Linked DNA regions of Cricetulus griseus. The protein of the gene in region 2 purifies or fractionates together with the protein of the main gene of each other region. This does not show direct contact. Links are inferred from orthologs where the notes say so. Each region holds a gene or a part of one and is shown on either strand. Other genes may lie near its edges. The genes, in order: Cryab and Casp3.

Region 1 (6,751 bases), on a different chromosome or scaffold from region 2:
CAGTTCTTTGCACCTGCAAGTTTTGTGCTTCTGTTTATAAAGGGCTCCATTGCCTCAAGCACTGGTTTATGAGTCTGCCACGGACTGAAGGAACAGCGAGGAATCTTGGCAGTGACACTCCCCAGCTAAATGGTGAAGGACGGAGAGGTCTTCTGACTTACCCCAGCTGCTCAGAGTTAGTTTGACTGGGTGTTACAGCTGTTTCCCAGCTTCAGCCAGAGTGGAACCCACGGGATTCAACCAGCAGAGCAACTGGCTCAATGCACGTTGACTCTCTGCTTCCTGCTTGTTGTGGTCAGAGGCCCATCATTTCTCCAGGAGGCTTTGGTTTTCAGCAGCTTTAGATATCCAGTCAGGCTGCCCCAAGTAAGGTTTTTCCTTTTCTCCAGTGCCTGGAAGAGGAGGTTATTAGGTTAGCTAAGACTCAATAAGCTCATTAGTGACTTTTCTTCGTGCTGTCCTAATGGGGTTTGGGGGCGGGGAGGGGGGTGCACCCAGGATGGCTATAAAGTGGTTTGTAATTCCTTGATTATTGAGTTGCGAGTCCCTGAGCAGCTGTGTCCTTGGACAAGGCTCTGACTTCTCTGGGTCTTAGCACTGTGTAAATTCTTCCTTTCTACCTAGGACCACAAGATGGGAGGGGATGTGGACATACTTTTGATTTTCTTTCTTTTTTTTTTCAAAGATCAGTTTTCTCTGAACATGCAAATGGTTAGTGTTCTTAAAAATAAACAATTGAGTTGGTGACCTCAGCCAGGTCGCAGAAGGGAGAAGTCCTGTTACACTTCCTGTCAATGTACCAGGGCATTTTGGGTGCTTTCTTTCAATTAAAAACACTTATAAAAACCCCTTAAAATAAGGTTTGCCTTTCTTTTTTTGAGTCCAAATCTCACTATATATCTGTGGCTGGCCTGGAACTTGCTATGTAGACCAGGCTGGCCTTGGACTCATAGAGACCTTCCTGTCTCTGCTTCTAGAGTGCCAGGCCTGAAATATATATATATATATATATATATATATATATATATATATATATGTTATTGAAAGGATCACACATAGCTTAGGCTGACCAGAAACTGGCTATGCAGCCAAGGATGACTTCCGATTCCCTGCTTCGAGCTCCCAGTAAAGGATCACAGGTGTACACCACCACGCAGTTATTTTATTTTTAGAATTAATTATTAATGTGTGAGACAGCATGATGTGTATATGGGTGCATGTACCAGAGAAGAGTGAGCTCTCCCTTTCCACCTTTAACATGGTTCCTGGATTGATCTCAGGTGCCAAGCTTCTGCAAGAGCCTTTATCCCCTGAGCCACCTTGCCCACCTTTCCCCTTACAGCAATTATTTTGAAAAGAGAGAAGAGATACATGTGGTAAAACCATGGCCATCCTGAATCATCTTTGATGTTTTTGTTGTGATGTTATGATTTGTTTAGCACTGTTCAATTACTTACATCCCCAACAACCACCACCACCACCCCAGCCGCTCTCTCCTGATTCCTCCTCTTTTTTTTTTTCTTGCCCTTCTACTTCCTCTGTTAGGTTGCCTCACATGTGGAAAAAGGTTGCTGAAGAATGGGGTGGGGGAATCCTGTGACTCACTCCTTTTCCCATCCACCTTGTGGTGAGGTGCTAGCAGCCTTAAGAGAGCAGAGTGAATGTGTGTGTGTGTGTGTGTGTGTGTGTGTGTGTGTGTGTGTGTGTGTGTGTGTGTGTGTGTGTGTGTGTGTGTGTGGTGAGGTGCTAGCAGCCTTAAGAGAGCAGAGTGAATGTGTGTGTGTGTGTGTGTGTGTGTGTGTGTGTGTGTGTGTGTGTGTGTTCGCCTGCGTGTGCGTGCGCACGCGCGGGGATGCCCGTCTCCAAACCTGCAGTGTAGTGATTGTAAGCATATGCTCGTGCTGGCAAGCCCACTTGTGTCAGCATGGGTGTGTAGGTGTGTACGCGTGTGTGAGTGCTCTCCGCGCGCGCGCGTGCGCGCGCACCAGTCCGGAGCGTGTGCGCGCGCCCTCGGATTCCCCCGCACTCACGGGCTGCCCGGGGCTGGCCGCTTGCCTCTCGGTGCCTGCCGTGCGCGCCTGACTGTTTCTATAGGAACCAACACGGCGCCAGGGCCCCTCCGGCTGCGGCCTGCGCGCGAGCATGCCCAGTGCAAGCCGCTAGTTTGGCTCGGCTCTAGGTTTCCAGTAAGTGGCATGCGGGACTCAGGAGAGATCCCAGGGAGCTGAGCCGATTGCCTTTGTGTGCAGAGGGAGGAGGAGGAGGCGGCTCGACCCCACCCGGGGAGCCCCACGGCAGGAACAATGCTAGCCTGCCTGACCCGCGGGAACTTACTGGACGTCCTGCAGGAGGGCTTCAATGAGGTAACTGCCCTGCTCCTCCCACCCCCAGCTCCCCGTCACCCCACGCCTCCCGCCTAATCTCCGGAAGGGAATCCTGGGGCGGGGGGCATCCTCTGGGGGAGCCCAGAACACATCATACGTCAGAGTTGAAGAGCCTGGGTACAGAGCCAAGGTGGTGGGTGCGGTGCAGATAGATGCAGGAACCTGAGGGCATCAGAAGGGCGGTGGGCCTCTCTCTAAGCTGAACGATTACCTTCCTGAGTGCCGAGGACAGTGAGGACCACAGACTTAAGAAGGCATCTCCTTGCAGGAAAGGTGGTCCCCACGCCTCTTGGGGACTCTCCAGGGACATCCTTGAGGGAAGCCCTGAACAGGAGGCAGCTAGCTCTTTCTATTTCAGGAGCTAACCGGATGAGTCACGGGAGGGGTGTGGTGGTGTGGCATTGGTAGAAAGTTTGAGAGGGCAGGAGACTGCGGGTGGTCCTTTCCACGTGTGAATTCCCTGAGTCCTGCGCCGTTATGTCCTCCACCACCCAGGACAAGGTTGTTTGAGAGGAGCAACCTGGGTCACAGGCCCAGTTTCAGGAGCCAATATTTGCTCCCCTCTGTGAGAACTGCTGTGGGGGATCCTCAATCTAACAGGAAAGGTGAGCTAGGCTTGACTCAGGCTCATTTTCTCCTCACAAGTTTCTCTCAGAATTCTGTTACCTCTTTCTTCCTTTTGCTTCTTTTGTGATCCAGTCGATTCTTGTTTGAGACCATTGCCATTCCATTTGCCCCCACTCCTCCTCACTCATCCTTTTGGTTGCCTTAGCCCAGCAGCCAGGAAGGCTTAGGCTATTGGTCATGGCTTCCTGCCCACTTTTCCCTCTGTGCACCTCTCCCTTCTCCATCGAATTTTTAAATTTAAGATCTCTTGGGGGAGGGGGTTGGGCATGCTATGAAAGTGTTCTACCACTGCCCTACTCCTCTACCCTTTAAGGCAGCAACTTGTGCTTTTAAAATCAGTTTTTAGTCAGATAACATATGAAAATATAACCCTCCACCCCCAGCACTGGTGACTGAACCTAGGGCCTTGCATATGACTAGGGGCTAGACCACTGAGCTACACCCTAACCTGATATTCTTCTTAAATATTAACGTTACAGGCAAGATGGAAGAGTCTTTTGTGCCATTCCCTGCTTCCACCCCCTTCCCAACCTTTCCCCTAGAGGCAACCAACCATTCTCATGAATTTCCATGTAGGATTTTTTTTTTGTCTCCAGCTGCACGACAGGCTCCCTCCTTGATCGCTGTTTCTAATTAAGAAGCCCTGAGTTGTGACCTGCCTTAGAACCTACCCCAGTTCTGCCCTCCTCCCACCCTGTGCCCCAGCCTTGTTCCTGACACAGACAGAGAAAAAAAATCCAACGGAAATGTTCTGCCAGTGTGACCAACTGTGCTGGAATTTTCCTTTGGCTGAGGGGTGTTACAACCTTCATCAAAGGGCAGAGCTTGTATCCTGCCTGCATGGCTGGCCTCCTCATCTTCGCATCACTTCTCACTGAACACATGTAAGGGAATCGTTAACAAAGAGCTACAGACCCAGAGGTGAAACACAGAAGAGTCAGGAAACACACCTCTTTAAGTGCCTCCAGTACTCCCATTCATCTCTTCTCACTCTCTGCTCCAGGGCCTTCTCTGGTCCTTAGCTGTGTAAATCCTACCCATTCATCAGTTGTGGCAAAAGTCCCTTGGTCCTCCAATGCCCTTCCCCCTTCTCTGTTTTAACCCGGCTCTTTGGTGTCAGGACCCACCTTCTGATTAGAAGGTGACGGGCACAGGGCCAAGTCCTAGTCTTTGCTTTCTGCTGGTCTTTCATTTCTAAATCTTCATCTGAAGACCCATGTGAAAATGAAGTGGCCTGGCTATCATTTCCATGACTCTACATAAATATTGCATAACAGCACAGTTCTTCCAAAACAAGGGGAAGGGGGAGTAAAAGATATTTCTTCCTGTGCTGGTAATAGAATATTTCTAAAAGCAACAGTCAGACAACTTTGCAATCAATTCTTCTGTTAAGAGCCATTCAGTAATATGCTCCTGTGGTATTTGAATTGTCTACTCTTCCCATAAACTGCTCTCTCTGCAGACTCATGTTCTCCTTAGTAGTAGAGTCCTTAGTAGATTTGAACTCTGAAAAACAAAATAGCACTGTGGTTTTATACCTCTAAATAATATAAATATTAATGTTAAATTTGAATGATTCCTTAGTTAACATAAATTCTCATATAATACATTTTCTTCTTCCCACCCCACCCCCATACTATCACACAATCATGTTACTGAATAACAGGACAAGTGAAGCAATTGGTATGGTTGGTGGGAGCCTTGTTTGATCTATTCCAGGCTCAAGGTTGCTTAATAGGCCCAGTAACATTCAATCTCTTTTGCTAGAGTCATGTGATAAGACTAACTGGGGACTTAAAAGACAGTGTCAGAATACACTTAGTTCCTCTGAGAAATTATTTCTACTGAGACTAAGAATACCACACATGTATTCAGCCACCTCTTGGGAATAATCTAAGTATATCTGAAGCTATCCTTCATCACCCAGATGGTTTATTATAGGTCTGTGTGGTTAGGGCTGCAACCTCATTCTCCCTGGCAGAGAAAACTCCCACAGGAGACAGGGAGATGGCCTTAATTGGTTAATTATAGAGAAATCCAGCAGCAGAGAGAAACCCTGCCCTTTGAATCAAGGCTTCCCTCTATTTATTGCTGGTCCCTCTTCAATCCATATGTCACTAAATATAACTGTGTGTGACCGAATCTCCTTCAATCACATTGCCCACCTAGAGTCCTGGCCTCAGCATGCCTGGCAAAGAAGTCACAGAATTGATTCATGTCAGTGATGCTAAAGCAATCTCTTGTATTGACATGGTTGATTTTCACTGAATTATTATTTTAGCTACTGACATTGGTAACCCACCTTGGCTATTCTGCATTTGTTTCAAAGCTATAGTGTGTGTGTGTGTGTGTGTGTGTGTGTGTGTGTGTGTGTTATGTGTGTGTGTTTGTTGTGTGTGTGGTGTGTGTTATGTGTGCACAGCCCTGGAGTTGATGTCATGGCTTCTTCAGTTACTCTCCCCTTACTTTTTGAGACAGGGTCTCTCACAAAACCTGGAGCTCACTGATTCCACTAGGCTGTCTGGCCAGCGAGCTCTGGAAATCTGCCTGTCTCGGCTTCCCCAGTGCCAGGATTGCAGCTGGGTGCTGCTATGCCTGGCTTTTTAAGTAGGTGCTGGACATTGCATCTTCAGGCTTACATAGCAAGCACTTCACTGACCCACATCCCAGGCATGTTGTTTCTAACACAGGCTGTCCCTGAACTCCATATGTAGCAAAGGATTACTGAATTCCTATTCATTCTACCTCCATTTCCCCAGTGCTGGAGTTGCTGGCATGTCCCTCAACACCTGGTTCAAGATACTTAGTATTGGTTGTTATATTAACATTGTCTTTGGCAGTATGAATTTCTGCCAGTGTTTTTTCCTGGGGGATAAACTTTGTTTTAAAAACTTTGGTGTTTGTGTTGGGAGATTTTAATAGACCTATGATTATAATATGGTTTGACCAATAACCATTACTTTATTCCTTCATTGAATGAGGGGAATATACACAGCCATTGAAAATTGTATAGGGAGAGACAAAACCTACTGGAAAAGCCCCATTAGGATGCTTAATGTCATGAATATCACAAACAAGTAATGCTTATGGGATATTGTAGAAACACTTTCTAATTAATAAAACCATGAAAAGAAACAAATATCATACTTTTGTGTTTACTGAGATCAGTTCCCTACCACCACCACTGCTCAGCTGGTATATGTGTGCAGGCAATCACTCACCAAACGCTCACTGAATTACTGTGTTTACCAGGCATCATGCCAGGCTCTGGAAATAGAAGCCAAATAACAAAGTCTGTTCCCTAATGGAGTTCACAGGTCAATGAAGATAAAGAAAGCATCATACTTGGGAACTTTGCCTTAGTACAGGCATCTTGCTTGTGGAAAAGAGTGAACTTCTGCCTTGTTTTGATGTGAATGGCTAAGAGAATGAAAGTTGAGGGAATAATTTATGAAAAAGTTGGTCAGTAGGAAGCCAGTTGTCTGACCATGTGAACTGGCAGATTTTTCCCTGCCCATTTTTCTCTAAGTAGGAAAGGAACATATTAAAAAGCTTGACAGAGGGAAGTAGCACATTGCTGGAGTCCCAGCTACTCAGCAGGCTGAGGCAGGAGGGTTGCTTAGTCCACATGTTGCCATATTCAGATTTCCATGGGCAGCATAATGAGTCCTTGTCTGGGGAAAAATAATGTGAGGGGAACGAGGGTAATGAGATGGCTCCATGAGTAAAGGCATTTGCCA
Region 2 (6,632 bases):
TGATTTGTTTTATATGGTGGGGTACTATGTCATCATCTCATTCATTCATTCATTGGCAAAGTCTCACATTGTAGCCCAACCTAGTCTTGAACTCACAATAATCCCTGAGTGCTGGGATTACAGGCATAGGCCACCATGCTCAGTTCAGTATGAATATTTTCTAAGACCATGGGGAAATAATCACTGATTTTTAAAAAAAAAATTCATTTTTTCTGACATGATAATATCCAGTAAATAATTTTAGACAGAAAAAAGTATGTGATCTTAGTTTTGTTTATATAGCTTACTCACAGACACTAAATTTGATTCTATGTCGAATCAATTTTAAGACAGTACTACTTGCACATGTTTTTGGGGAAAAATCCACAAATATTATCAGATTAATATTGCTAATCAGGTTTTCTGCTATGTGGGTGACATTACTGTACCCACAAGATGCATATCACTAGCTTCATTTGTACACATGATGGATGCAGAGCACAAATGAGCTAAGAAACCTGCCCTTGGTACACAGCATGCTTAGCATGAGAGATGCTTGGCTTTAAAAGGAAGGAAACAAATTGGTTCAGAGTGATAAAGTTGAGGACCTTTGAGCCAGCTCGTGACATTTGCTGCCAGGCCTGATAACTTAAATTTGATCCCTGGTACCCACATGGTGCAAGGAGAGGACTGAGGGAAGAAGGGGAGGAGAACGTCTTATTGGCATCAAGGAGGTACCAATGAGGACTACAGATCATCACGGAGGTACCAATGAGGACTACAGATCATCAAAGAGGTACCAGTGAAGACTACAGATCATCACGGAGGTACCAATGAGGACTACAGATCATCAAGGAGGTACCAATGAGGACTACAGATCATCAGTACAGCTCAGCCACATGCACTGGGCTCTAACTGCTGTAAGTAAAGATGTTGTGGCAAGGTTTGGTTTTGTTGGTTTTTGTTTGTTCAGCGACAAAGTCCCATTAGCCCAGGCTGGCATCTTTCTACTTCCTTCTTCCAAGTGACAGTGACAGGATTACAGGAATGTACCATCATACAGGGCTATGTGGTACTGGGAATAGAATCACTCTACTGACCCCATTTTCTGGTCTTTTCCCTCTCCTTTTCTTCTTTAATTTTATTTTTTCCTCATTTTTTTTTTCCAATTAGTTCTTTGAGAATTTCATACAATGGACTTTAGTCATATTCATCCCTGGGTCTCCAACTCCTTCTAAGCCCATGACCCTTCCCGTCCCACCCAACTTTGTGTCATCTTCCTACGTGCAGCCTTCCATTGGAGTGTGGAGGATCTGTGGCACAACCCCTGAGTTATAACTTAATGACTACTTGTGAGTTAGTATAAAACACCATTCCTTTTACTGTGCACTCATTCTCAGGTCAGGGGAAAGGCCTCAATTAAATAACGGTTGTAAACACAGAAGCAGAATGTGCCTGAAGGCAGGCACACAGACCTGTAAATGAGAAACCTGGCACAGGGCAGGGATAATCCAGCAACCTCAAGTCTGAGATAAGAGGCCCTAATTTGTTTTGTTTTGTTTTTTTGGCTTTTCGAGACAGGGTTTCTCCGTGTAGCTTTGGAGCCTATCCTGGCACTCGCTCTGGAGACCAGGCTGGCCTCGGACTCACAGAGATCCGCCTGCCTCTGCCTCCCGAGTGCTGAGATTAAAGGCGTGTGCCATCAACACCCGGCTGAGGCCCTGATTTGTATTCTGATACTGACTAAGGAATGACTGTAGGGCCCACCTGCCTGAGGCTGTGAGTTAAGGGCTCCTGTAAAGGATGCTAGAGACACTTTCTCAGCTGCCCCAGGGCAGCAGACCTCAGGTGCCAGTCACTTATCTTCTCCCTGCCAGCTTGTTGCTTATGCAACCTTTTCTTCTCCCATCACTCAGCCTCTCAAGAGATTGGCTCTGTTGGGCAGCAGAGAATCCAACCCTTCAAAGTCAGGAGAGGCAAAGATTCTGAATATGGAAAAAGAGTTCCTATTGTATATGGGACCTGTAAGTTCCAGTGTAGCTCTACTCTGTGGTTTGTCTATATCAGTTTACTGACTCATAACACACTGATAATTGCTTTTCACATTGTATCCAATGTAAATGGCATAAATATTTGAAATGTTTTAAAAATTATGTTAGATACATACCAGTGCTTTTATGAAAGTTCTTATTATTAATTATTATACACACACCCATTTCAGGATAATCCATTTTGTAACTATTGTCCAGATACATTCCAGAGTCCATTGATTTGCTTCCATGTATGGTCTTTCTGCATGGAAATCAAGTGACGGTTAGTTACCAAAGGCAGAAAGGACTCCATTAATACAACTTTTATTACTCATAAGAATGGTTAACATTTGTTTGAGACTATCAATGTACCCAACTTCGTGTTAAATCCTTCCCTCATTCAAATTTCACATGTGGGTTTGATCCCAAGTGCTAGAGGGAAAAAAAGCATAAATAAATACATCCACAACAACCACAACCCATTTCAAAGATGAGGAAATGACCTGCCAAGGCCAAGGAAGTAAAATGTGCTGAAGTGTGTTCAGCTCTTATTGGAAGGTTTTCCTGTAAAGTCCAATAGCATTTTACGAAATACATCTTTAAAAAAATTAACAATGTATGAATTAATTTATCCATGATAAAAGTACCTTTTTTTGTTTGTTTGTTTGTTTGTTTGTTTGTTTTTCGAGAAAAGGTTTCTCTGTGTAACCCTGGCTGTCCCAGAACTCACTTTATAGACCAGGTTAGTCTCAAATTCAGAGATCTGCCTGCCCCTGCCTCTTGAGTACTGGGATTAAAAGCGTATGTCACCACCACCAGCAAGTACGGCCTTTTTTTTTCCTAAGATTTTATTTTTGAGGCCGAGTCTAAGAACAGCCAAGCAAAAAAGTTAAGGATGCATACTCAGCCTTAATAGCATCTTATATTTTATATAATTCTAAAAATAATGTAGAAAGATTAAAAGTAGTAAATGAAGGGGATCAAAGTCAGACAAAAAAGAACCATGATATATAGCTGGAGGTAAGGCCCCACATTTTACAGAGTTAATTAGGTCATATAGTCAGGCTGTGCATTCCTGTTCGAAAATCTAGAATCAGAAATGCTCCAAAATTTATATCAATATAATGCCACAAGTGGAAAAAGTCACACCAAGCCCCATGAGACAGGTCACTTTCAAAACATAGGTCCACTAAAAATATTTTATAAAATTAGCTTTGGGATACATGTATAAAGTTTTTATGAAACAAAAGTGAATTCACAGTGTTTAAAATTTATAGGCCAGGGTATACTCGGTAGGTAATAGCGCTTTCTATGCAATCCTAACAGCCTGAGTTCAATCACTGGAAACTACATTAAAAAGCTTTAAGTCAGTGATTCTCAACCTGTGGGTCAAAACTCTTTTGGGAGGTGGGTGTTGAATGAACCTTTCACAGGGGTTGCATATCAGATATCCTGCTTATCAGCTATTTATATTATGATTCATAATAGTAGCAAAATTACAGTTATGAAGCAGCAACAAAAATAACCTTATGGTTGGGGGTCACTACAACATGAGGAGTTCCTGTATTAATGGGTCACAGTGTTAGGAAGGTTGCTCTAAGTGGTGGCACACATGTGTGTGTTCATAGCATTCCTGAGGCAAGATGGGAGGTGGAGACAGGAGAATAGGTGGAAGCCTGACTGCTAGCCTAGGACACTTGGCAGCAGAAACAAGGAAATGTTGGCCTCTGACCTCCATGTGCACTGTAGTCTACTCACACCTGTACACACACACACACACACACACTTAGGTCCCATCTCTAATGCATTGTGTGTGTGTGTGTGTGTGTGTGTGTGTGCATATGTTCCAACCTGAGAGTCCGAAATCTAAAATACTTCTGGTTTTAGTCATTTTGCATAAGGGATGCAAATCTTATAATCGACCACAGAACTATAATTCCCATTACCTAATGCTGATTCTTCACTACTTTCTGTTCACCCCGTTATCTGCCAGCATGTGACAAGTAGACCAAGAAAGGATATGACGTACCTTCAGAAAGAGTGGAGAATCCCAAAGCCAGGAATTCAAGAGCACTTAGCATAGTACCTGAGCAATCTCCTTCCCTCCAGTCTTTCCCTGTCATCTTAGTTAAGATGAGATCAGAGGAATGAGTTTACCCAGAGCTGCACAGCTGCTGGAGGTGGGAGGCAGTTTGCTCTCTAGTTTGAAATCCCCTTTCCCTCTGCTTCTCTATTTCTCAAATGGGATGCATTCCACAAACATGTCTTCCTTTGACTATATATATAGAATTCCACTTATACCATTATCACCAGGCACAGTGACTATGGCTTGCTATGCTAGCATTAGAAAACAAAGGTCAGAGAGCCATCACAAGTTTAAAGCTAGCCTGGATTATACAGGTCCAGGTTAGCCTAGGGTATGTGGAGAGTCTGCCTTAAACTACAACAAATAAAAATAAATAAATACTCACACTTCAAAATTTTTAATGGATTTGGAATCTACTGAGGTTTCATTGTTCTCCATGGTCACTTTTCTTAACTAGAATATAGAAGGAAAAAAAAAGAGAGATGTTACCCATTATAGAACCACTGCAATATATTAGCAATGCCATATTCATTGTTTCCATCGCTATTGGTCCCATGAGTCAGATGTCTAGAGAATGGTCCTTTGCAATAGCACCATCCTTCTCCTTCCTTGATCTTCTAGCTATGAATTATATCAAGAACAGAGTGTAAAGCAGCTCAGTCTCTTTCCCCCATTTGTATGCCCCTGCCAATCAAAACAGGTAACACCTTCTTTCCTTGGTCACCCGACCAATCTAGTTATTTACTGGAACTCAGCTTCCAACTCAACATAACTAAAACAAAACCCAAACACTAACCACGAAGTAAAGCTCACATAATACTACACCACAATGGTGAGAGCCCCAGGAACTTCCAAACCTCCACAGTATCCTACTCAGAAACTTGACTTCTAATTCTAAGTGACTTTGTCTCCAAATACCAGACATGTGCACCTCTCCACATCTGTTCCTTCCTGTCTTCTAGAGTTCTCTAGAAGGAAAGACACTGCCCTGGTTGTATACCTCCCCAAATAAAGAAGACATACAAACAGAAATGAAACATGAAAGAAGTACTGAAAATCCCGAGTGAATCTTCAGACTCTAGAATCCCTGGTTACGTCTAATATTTCAATCAAAATACAACTTTTAACCTCAGTCGTATGCTAAAATCAGAACGACTATGACGGCGTCACAGAAGGCTCCAAAGCTAAGTTCCTACTCTTCCCCCGTGTGGTGTGCCTTTGGGAACAGTGAAGAAAGAACACAGAGAGGAGGAAGTGACACCCTTCAGTTTAACCACAGTAGAGAGCAGTGCTCCATCTGCCTTCCTAAGTCAGTCAGTGCTTTGTGTTCCTATAAAGGCTCTTTGCTTTCTACAATTTTTATTCTGGTGGGTTTTCTAGAAAACCACAGGATATGAGACAACTGGGATGTACCATGCTTTTAGTCAGCAAGCAAATGTTTAGAGAGCACACACTTTGCACCACAAGTCTATCTTCAAGAAACTTGAATTCCACAAAGAAAGAATTAGAGATGGAAAATAGGGTTCTAATACTGTCAGGGCTATGAGGAAAATGAGAAAGGGGTGAGAAACTGGGAATGGGGGGGTGGTCAGGGAGTTGTTATCTCTGAGGTGGCATTACAGAGATCTGAATGACACAGAGGGAGGCTGCCCCTGCCCTGGGGTGGGGGTGGGGTGGGGGTGGGGGTGGGGGTAAACATCAGTTAGATCAAAGGCCTGGGAACAACTTGCTCTACTCAAGGTACACAAAGACCAGTTTGACTAGTGCTGGGGCAGGAAGATAGATAGCCAGGAAAGGTAAGATCACATAAGGTCTTCGGACCAATAACATGGAGAGAACATTGGGACATTTAAAGCCAAAGAGGGACTGCACACTCTGGCTGCTAAAACACATGGCTGGTGAGAAGCCTTCTGGAGTAGCTCAGGGAGATGATAGAGGCCTCAGTTGGAGCCGAACAGCTGATGGATACAGACAGTTAAGTGTGGGCATCCTGTGATTTAGAAGTTGATTAGAGGAAGTGAAGCCAGCAGAAGAACTGAGAGTTTGCAAAGCGAATTGGGTGGATGTGGTGTGCCGACACTGGCAGAAGACTTTTAGGGACACTCACCTTTTCCACCCTTGCCAGAAGACCTATTTTAATGAGGGCAGTAGGCCACACCGGCTTTATGAAACATGTCATGGCTACAGTAGTGACTGTTAGGACAAATGACCCAAGCCAAAAGAGTGACTAGATACTATTTTGATGGGATGTTGGGTGTTACCCAGAGGGATTATTGAATTCCCCAGGGCATAGTCTTTTACATAACTCACTACTAGACACGCTGGTTTCCAACTTTGTAGCCATAAAAAGTAGCAGCTACATCAAGATTCTTTTCTATCCTTCTAAATTATAGTTATTGCCTTATAGGACATAACCATTTTCATAACTGCCAGCAAACTGCTCACACATTCAGCTCTTTGTTTGCATTTGCTTGTTCTTCCAATTCTCCTTTGAACTGGACTTAACATCTAATTGGTTCCATTCATTAGCTAGCAGG

Evidence for each region.
Region 1: the proteins of Casp3 (region 2) and Cryab purify together in Homo sapiens (affinity purification with western blotting; 3 studies listed by BioGRID). This does not show direct contact. The link is inferred for Cricetulus griseus from reciprocal best matches to the Homo sapiens genes CASP3 and CRYAB.

What each region holds. Positions count from the first base shown.
Region 1 is NC_048597.1:162,497,531-162,504,281, reverse strand, and holds the start of Cryab (alpha-crystallin B chain), read right to left. Parts: upstream 3,653-6,751; 5' UTR 3,565-3,652; intron 3,525-3,564; exon of another isoform or gene 3,051-3,524; intron 2,990-3,050; exon of another isoform or gene 2,853-2,989; intron 2,754-2,852; exon of another isoform or gene 2,482-2,753; intron 2,422-2,481; exon of another isoform or gene 2,364-2,421; coding exon of another isoform or gene 2,304-2,363; exon of another isoform or gene 2,227-2,303; intron 2,155-2,226; exon of another isoform or gene 2,031-2,154; intron 393-2,030; 5' UTR 162-392; exon of another isoform or gene 1-161. Other genes in the region: Dixdc1 (dixin), read left to right, coding at 2,359-2,363. UniProt on the Homo sapiens protein: May contribute to the transparency and refractive index of the lens. Has chaperone-like activity, preventing aggregation of various proteins under a wide range of stress conditions.
Region 2 is NW_023276807.1:40,014,791-40,021,422, forward strand, and holds the start of Casp3 (caspase-3), read right to left. Parts: upstream 4,534-6,632; coding exon 4,481-4,533; intron 2,272-4,480; coding exon 2,147-2,271; intron 1-2,146. UniProt on the Homo sapiens protein: Thiol protease that acts as a major effector caspase involved in the execution phase of apoptosis. Following cleavage and activation by initiator caspases (CASP8, CASP9 and/or CASP10), mediates execution of apoptosis by catalyzing cleavage of many proteins.